Linked DNA regions of Caenorhabditis elegans. The protein of the gene in region 1 purifies or fractionates together with the protein of each later gene. This does not show direct contact. Each region holds a gene or a part of one and is shown on either strand. Other genes may lie near its edges.

Evidence for each region. Proteins that work in one complex are often made in the same cells at the same time.
Region 2: the proteins of vpr-1 (region 1) and C35D10.6 fractionate together in Caenorhabditis elegans (co-fractionation; one large-scale study listed by BioGRID). This does not show direct contact.

Annotation. Positions count from the first base shown.
Region 1 is NC_003279.8:5,867,726-5,871,817, forward strand, and holds vpr-1 (Major sperm protein), read right to left. Parts: upstream 2,230-4,092; 5' UTR 2,223-2,229; coding exon 2,048-2,222; intron 1,890-2,047; coding exon 1,604-1,889; intron 1,513-1,603; coding exon 1,365-1,512; intron 1,279-1,364; coding exon 1,150-1,278; 3' UTR 541-1,149; downstream 1-540. Other genes in the region: F33D11.10 (RNA helicase), read right to left, coding at 1-20, 69-404.
Region 2 is NC_003281.10:4,857,692-4,861,289, reverse strand, and holds C35D10.6 (NADP-dependent oxidoreductase domain-containing protein), read right to left. Parts: upstream 1,952-3,598; 5' UTR 1,947-1,951; coding exon 1,887-1,946; intron 1,839-1,886; coding exon 1,693-1,838; intron 1,355-1,692; coding exon 976-1,354; intron 934-975; coding exon 736-933; intron 685-735; coding exon 604-684; 3' UTR 518-603; downstream 1-517. Other genes in the region: C35D10.10 (Thioredoxin-related transmembrane protein 2 homolog), read left to right, coding at 1-239, 288-447; C35D10.7 (ULP_PROTEASE domain-containing protein), read right to left, coding at 2,153-2,199, 2,393-2,543, 2,599-2,751, 2,927-3,598.

The DNA of each region.
Region 1 (4,092 bases):
TCTCCGAGAGCAAGAACTACCTGCAAAATGTGTTTTTTATTGCAACTCTGTATTTATTATATCCATACTTTTTGAATCTGGACAGCCAATTCTCTGGTTGGAGAAAGAATAAGTGCTTGTGTCTCTCGAACTTGTGTATCCAATGATTGAAGAACGGAAATTGAAAAAGTCGCAGTCTTTCCGGTTCCAGATTGAGCTTGAGCAATGACGTCACGTGCTTTAAGAATTGCTGGAACTGCTCTTTGTTGAATAGCCGATGGTTTTTCGAATCCATAGGCATAAATTCCACGAAGAAGGTCTTCTCGCAAACCCATTTTGTCAAATGTTGGAATAACATTTACTTCTTCAGAAGATTCGAATTCCACTGTTGCCATATCATCTTTTTCTGCTTTTTTACCAGCCATTTTGGAAAATCTGAAAAAAGATTAATTTTAAACATCACTCGAGTGACATTTTATTGTCGAGTCGCGTAAATTTCCAGGTAAATACTCCGAGATAATACGGCGAAAAAATTCAAAAATAAAAATAGTTATTGGAAACCATAAACATCAAATTTTATTGTACCATATACAAATCATGTGACTTAAATTGGTTGTTTCAAAGAGCATGGGGCTTTCTTAAAATCCATGGAGTCCTATATCAATCAATGGTTGTACACATAAAATAAATGAGAAAAGGTTGGGGGAACGGGGAACCATAGAATGGAAAATAAATAAATAAAATTCTTGATAATGGCTACCGGGTATGATGATAGGCAGTCACTAGACGGATCTATGATGGTCTAGAAGACGCCGGGAAAAACGGAAAACGAATAAACAAAGGAAAGAAGTGAAAGTAGTTTGAGAAAAAGTTTGAAATTTTTGCGCGCTGCGTTCACTAAAGAGGCAAGTATTCAAAATTTCAAAAAACCGAAAAGTTAAATATGTCAATTTACATTGCAGAAAATAACATTTTGATTTTTGAAATATTCAGAATTTCGCCCTTGGCAGAGAAAAAGTTAGAAAATTTAGGATTTGAAGGTTAAATTTGATGAAAATCCGAATGGAGCAATGCTTGTGTGTTTTAATGTTTGTGGCAGCAAAAAAGCACGTGAATGATAGTACCACTAGTTACTTAAAAGTGAAAATGAAGGAAGAATTGATTCAGAATTTAGAAAAGACGGCCAACAATAAGCCCGATGAGCAAAGCGGCAACCGCAATAAGGAAAATTTGCAATGTTGGGTATGCACCGTCGACAAGAGCTCCATCAGAATGCGATTGTTGAAGCTTGCGGTTCTTCTGAAAATATTTTTTGTAGAAAATTGAACACATATTTTTTTTTCCAAAGTGTAATTAATTTTTTCAAATTTCTTTTCTGATATTACCTTGAGCATGACTTCGATTTCTTGTTCCAATCCATGTACTTTCTTTTGCAATTCTTCTTTCTCGTCAACTGTCGATTTCAACGATTTGCGAAGGGAGTTAACGGTTCCATCATGCGATGGTGTTCCAGAGTACGAACTTCCGAGCTCTCTGCAAATATTAGTTTTTTATTGAATGAAGTTTATGAAGGAAACAATAATTGTTAACCTTCTTTTAACCTCCATTATAAGTAAAAACTCACTGTGCCTGTCCAGAAGAAGCAAAACTATCCTCGTTCCTAACCGCAAAGGTTTTTGTATCATCTCCAGACGCTGGATCTCTCTTGTCAACGAAGGTGACCATAAGCTTGCTGTAGGTCAGCTCCGCTGGATCGATTATTTTCCAGACCGATTCCAAATCTGGCAGATCTTCCGAAGGCGCCACACACGATTGAACCATAAACTTATGTCGTCCTGCATCAGATGGAATTCCTTCCAGAGGTTGAAGCATTACTGTGATTTGTTTCGAGTCACCAGATTTCAGGAGGCCTAAAAAATCAAAATCAGAAGGTCAAAGTAAACTTCAGTTTTAAAAATCAACCAGTCTAACAGATAAGGTCTAAATACAAATCATATTTTTCTTTTTGCGTTTAATTTCACTTTTTCCATATCAAATTGATTTCAATGCAAATAAATCCATCACTCACCAGAATTTGGACGAACACAATATTGCTTTGGAGCCGTTGTTTTCACTTTGAAGCACACTGGATTGGTTGATGTGTTCTTGAGAGTCATGTGTGATGTGACAACATCACTGAATGGGCCAGTGAACACGAGTTCACGATTTGGAGTCACTTGCAGAAGACTGTGCTTTTCAGACATTTTTTTGCTGAAAAAAAAAGTTAGTTCATATAAAATAATTATGTTAAAAAATAAAGATTGATAGGAAGTTTGGATCAAGGCGAAAGAATTAAAAATTGTTTTTTTTCTATTGGTATTTACGTACATCACAAAACCGAACACTAAACGAATATTTTTTCGATTTGCAATTTCGAAAAAGCTATAAAATGAAAAAGTCGCAGTGTATGTTCTAGCGTTATCAGTTTCTCTTGAGTTTTGGCCAGTGCTTAGTGCCTAGAGGCAAGCGTATTTGCTCTTGGCAAAACGAAAAACGAAAAAAAAATCGAAATCGTGTAGAAGTTATACAAATGCTTGTCTATCTTTCTAAATACAGTCTTCAATAATCTTGAATTTGAAATTTGAAAAAAATATGGACGAGTGTATTCAACACAGGTCATAAACAAAATTTAAACAGAAAGGCATCAAAAACGTTGTTCAGCCAGTAATTGAACGTTTGTCAATTGATAATCGGGGAGAGAAAAGTAGAGATGCAACTGATGGATGACCCGATACATGAAAAACACAACAAAAAAATAATATTATTTCCTATATTTTAACAACGAATAAGTCCAAAACTGCACAGTATTGAACAAAGGTTGAACCAATTCGAGAAAATAACAAATTATATTGAAAAATTATTCTGAAACGCTGTCAGATGACATGAATTCGGGTGAGACGTGGAGAGCGCACACGTTTTTCAAAAAATGTTGTCCTGAGAGATGCGTAAGAGATAATAGACGCAGAAGGAAAAGTGTATCTACGTCTCTTCCCTCTCGTTGACTTATAATTCGAGTGTGTGAGTGTACGTGTGAGCGATGTGTGTGTGTGCGTTTGGTAGGGGAGGACGAGTGTGAGCGAAAATGGCTGTCCTGGAGAAGGAGAAACACGTTGTTGGAGACGAAAGAGGCACCGAAAAAACACAAGCATCGTGAAGAAAAAACGATGGGATAAGAGAAGAAGATGGAATAAATTAGGATGAGATGTTTGCTGGTAGAATGTGCAAAATGCACTCAGAGAAGATTAAGCTAAGGCAGTTCTATGCAATAAAATCTTAATTTTTGTATTCCCCAGGAGCCTATAAATTAACCTCCAAGTCAAAACAACAGACAATTGAACCTTTTTTTGAAAAACGAGAAGAGCTGCAGTTTAGAAATGTTCGATATTTAAAATTTCACTCTGATTGAAATCATTATTTGAGCTCATTTATGAAAAAGATTGAGACGGAAATTGAAAAAGTTGAGTTAATAGCCTTATGCGTCAGCGGAAGATTTGATCCATATGAAGAATATTAACAAGTCGCAGTATGTATATCTGATGAAGCTAGAAACAGAAGACTTTTAGAATGAAAAAGACGTCCTCTTCTGCGTAAACAAAGTGCAAAGGACGGCGAATTTGAATGGAAGAGAGAGAGTGCAGACGCAATTAGAGCACCTCGGCTTGGTACTGCTTTAGACTTAGTTTCTCTGTTTTCCTGCCGTCCGGATGTGAGAACTCTCCATGACAACACAGATATTTCCCGTATCACACACTCATCGGAAACATAAGAGGGGGAGAAGGACAACTGGCTCCAACTATCAATCAATCGGGGTTATTTACACAATGATTTTTGTTCTTTTAATGTGCTAATAGAAGAAATATACACAAACACATGGAAGTAATATTGGGGAATTTGCACTTTTCTAGAAAATTAAAACTTGAAGTTTCAGGCTGAGCAAAAATAGCTCAAATAACTCGAAAAAAACTCAGTGAATAACTATTTTTATAACCAGGTTATAGACTAGGCGAAAAGGTACAGAGAGAAGAAAAGTCCGAATTTGTGAAAAATCCCTATTATTCACCAAAAAACAATCTA
Region 2 (3,598 bases), on another chromosome or scaffold:
CAGCTTTTCGAAGAACTTACCAGAAATCGAAATACCATCTGGGTTATTCAATTCTTCACAACATGGAGCCCAGAATGCAGACATACTTCACCCGTTTTTGCGGAATTGAGTCAAAAGTTCACACTTCCAAACATGAAGTTTGGGAAATTGGATATTGGAAGATGGGCAAAAGAAGGCGAGCGGTTCCGTGTGAATGCTCATCCAATGTCACGACAGTTACCAACTATTTGTGTATTCAAGTAAGATTTAAGCTTTATTTTAATTTTCAACCAATCTGTAATTTCTAGGGACGCAAAGGAAATCGCTCGTCGTCCACTAGTCAACGATAGTCGTCGTGCTGTTCCATTTGTGTTCAGTGAAGAGAACTGTGTTCTTGCATTCGATCTTCTCAATTTGTACAATGAGCAGAAGGAGAAAAAAGGCGCGAAAGCGAAGAAAGAAGATTAAATATTCGATGACAGCTCAAAATTTCCATATACGACTCAATCACGAGATCTTTCAACAACAAGAAATAATAACTCGGCATTTAAAATTTATACATCTATTTAGAATATAGAGGATTATTTGTAGCTTTAAATTTATAATGATAAATGATTTTGGAAATCAAACCACTACGCGAGGATCCCAGCAAGTTTTGTGTTCGACAGTCAAAGCCAATAAACGATCGATGTCTTCTTGAGTAATCTGTAAATCCCAATTTTAGACATTAGGACTAAAAACCATCTAGAAACAGACCGCCAGCTTAGTAACTTTAAAATTGGTAGCAACATGCTCTGGATTTGTAGTTCTCGGAAGTACGCTAATTCCCTGGCAATAAGCAAATCCAAGAAGGAGCACAGGAATCTCGACATTGTACTTTTGAGCAAGTTCTTTGATCAGAGGTTCTTCGGATAATTGTTTACGATATGTTGGGCTGCCAAGGCTACTGTACGCCTGAAAAAAACTTCAAGAGAGCGAGATTTAGAAAAATCCCACCTGGAAATGAATGTTATTTTCGTTACAGTATTTGACCAGATCGTCCTGATGGAAATGAGGATGATACTCAACTTGATTGACTGCTGGGACAACATTAGAATCTTTTTTCAATTCTTCCAAATGACAAATCTCAAAATTAGAGACCCCAACTGAACGCAATTTTCCTTCAGCCATCATTTCACACATAACGTTCCAACTTTCCACTCTCAGTTTCTTGTTTGCCGGATTTTCGCTTTTCAGGGAACTTCCAGGCCAGTGAATGAGCAAAAGATCCAAATATTCGACTTTAAGATTGCTCAGTGACTCCTCAATGCTTTCCCGAGCTTTCTTAACGCCAGCATTAGATGGGGCTAACTTTGACGTGATCCAGATGTCTTCTCTGAAAAAAAGATAGCTTCAATTGGTGGCTCTGTGGTTTTATTGAATTTTTAAAAATTATTTCTCAATTTTGTAGATTAAAAGTGGCTGAACTATATTTGAATTACATAATATTGAATGAATAACCTAGTTTAAATTTTTTTAAATGTTTGCTTTGATTATTGGTTTAGAATATAATTTGTCGAATTTTTTTTCATTTTTCAATTTAAACATTTTTAGCGAAACAATTTGCTGAAAATTAGAGAAAATGGGTTTCAAATCAAAGAAACACCAAAACCAGTTTTTTCTCGCAGGATTAAAAAAAGATTTAGAAACAATTATAAATTTTTTAAAACCTACCTCTTCAACCCATTTGCTGGAAGCAATTTTTCCAAGATTCTACCAATTTTAGCTTCATTGTTATAGACTTGTGCCGTATCAATGAATCGATATCCTTCTTTGAAACCTGCATCAATCACTTGACGAAGAATTTCTTCTTTTTGAACCTTAAATTTATTTTTTAGTCAAAAAATTGATTTATTCGAAGTCAATACCTGCCACGTGCCAATTCCGATCAATGGCATGTTGTTCTTAACATATTCACGATGCTCCATTGATCCTGAAAAGCAAAACAATTACACTTGAAATAATTGTTTAAAAGTAAATAAATAACTGTTGGCTTCAAACCAAAAAAGACTGAAAAAAAAAACGATTTTTAAAAGGAAAAATGTATTGTGCAGCAAGTTTAAAATATGAAAATGGTAAGATGAAAATGAAATGATTAGATGTGTTACATGGAAAAATGAGAAAAATGACACAATCAAGAAGAGCATTCGGTCGGCGAATTTTGAGAAGTGGGGAGTAGATCTGAAAAATACATAGATTATTATGATTATCTGAAGTTTTCGGTTTTTTTTTTAATTTGGATTTTTAATTTTTTTTAAATTTATCGTTTTCGCATTTCTTTTGTGATATTTCAGAATTTCAGACTAACTTTCCAATTTTTCAGATGAAAAATGTAATTTTCTAATTTTTTTTCAATAATTTTCAGCCAACTCACTTCCATCGCGATCAAATGGGACTCCCGAAAACAACGTCCCGTCGATTTGTTTGATGCAAGACCATTCATTCTTAACGACATCATAGGAAAACAGTTGGGCGACATTGAGCAAGAATTGGCAGAAGATCTTACCTTTCGGTAGAAAATAATCCTGAAAATTAATTTTATGTAAACATTTAAATTCGAACAGAACAACTGAAATGTACCTTTTCAAGCATTTTTTGCAATTCTTCAAAAACTTTCAGCGGCTCAAAATTGTATTGCTTGAGAATTCGTTCAAATGCGGACCACATCTTACACTCTTTCGCCAGTTGCACCACACTCGGGACATCTTTCACTTTTGGAATCATACTGATAGCCTGCGAAAAAAATACACATTATATATCAAACTTTTGTGTTGTTTCAATAGTTAAAATGACCCTAAAAACCGAATTTTACAACAAGACTTCAAAAAAAAAAAAATTAATTTTTGAAACAGTCTCGTTATCAAATTCAGTATTTCGTGGCCATTTTACATTTTAAAAGTTGTAATACCTTGTCATAAAAATCGCCGAGACAATATCTATCCTTCGTTTCTCCAATATCCATGAGTGAAAAATTTGAAAAACAAAACCAATTGATTTCTTCATGTTGTTCGTTCACAAAACGCTCGATTCGGGCGAGCCTCTTATTAATGGCAGCTTCACGATCATCGTCAAACACAAAACTTTGCTTTGTTAGAAGCTTGATATCGATGTTATACTGCACACGTGTCGCTCTAGCGATCGCCACATCAAATCTTGTGACCCTCGCGGCGTGTTCCTCTTTGGTCAAACGTTCAGCACTCCAGTGCTCAATGGCATCTTCTGGCTTAAGTTTCATAGTTGAACGGAAATCATAGTAGGAGTCAATAAATTTCGTCAATAGTACTGTGCATTTTTTGAGGAACACGGCAAAGTCATCACAAATGTCGTCGGTTCGAGACACTTCCCCACTGATTTCAATTGCAAATTCTTGATTATCTTTGATTCCTCTCGAATTATGATCTGCTTCACTAGAAATGGAACAGACAGCTGTCTCATTTTCGAGCACTTCGGGAATGTTGTCGATGATGGGAACTTGTTGAACCATTGAAGAATGACTTTCAGAAGTAGAAGGACCATCTATGTACACCAAGCTATTGCGTGAAGACCTCCTGTTTCTAGCTTTCATTGGTGGTATTGCTAC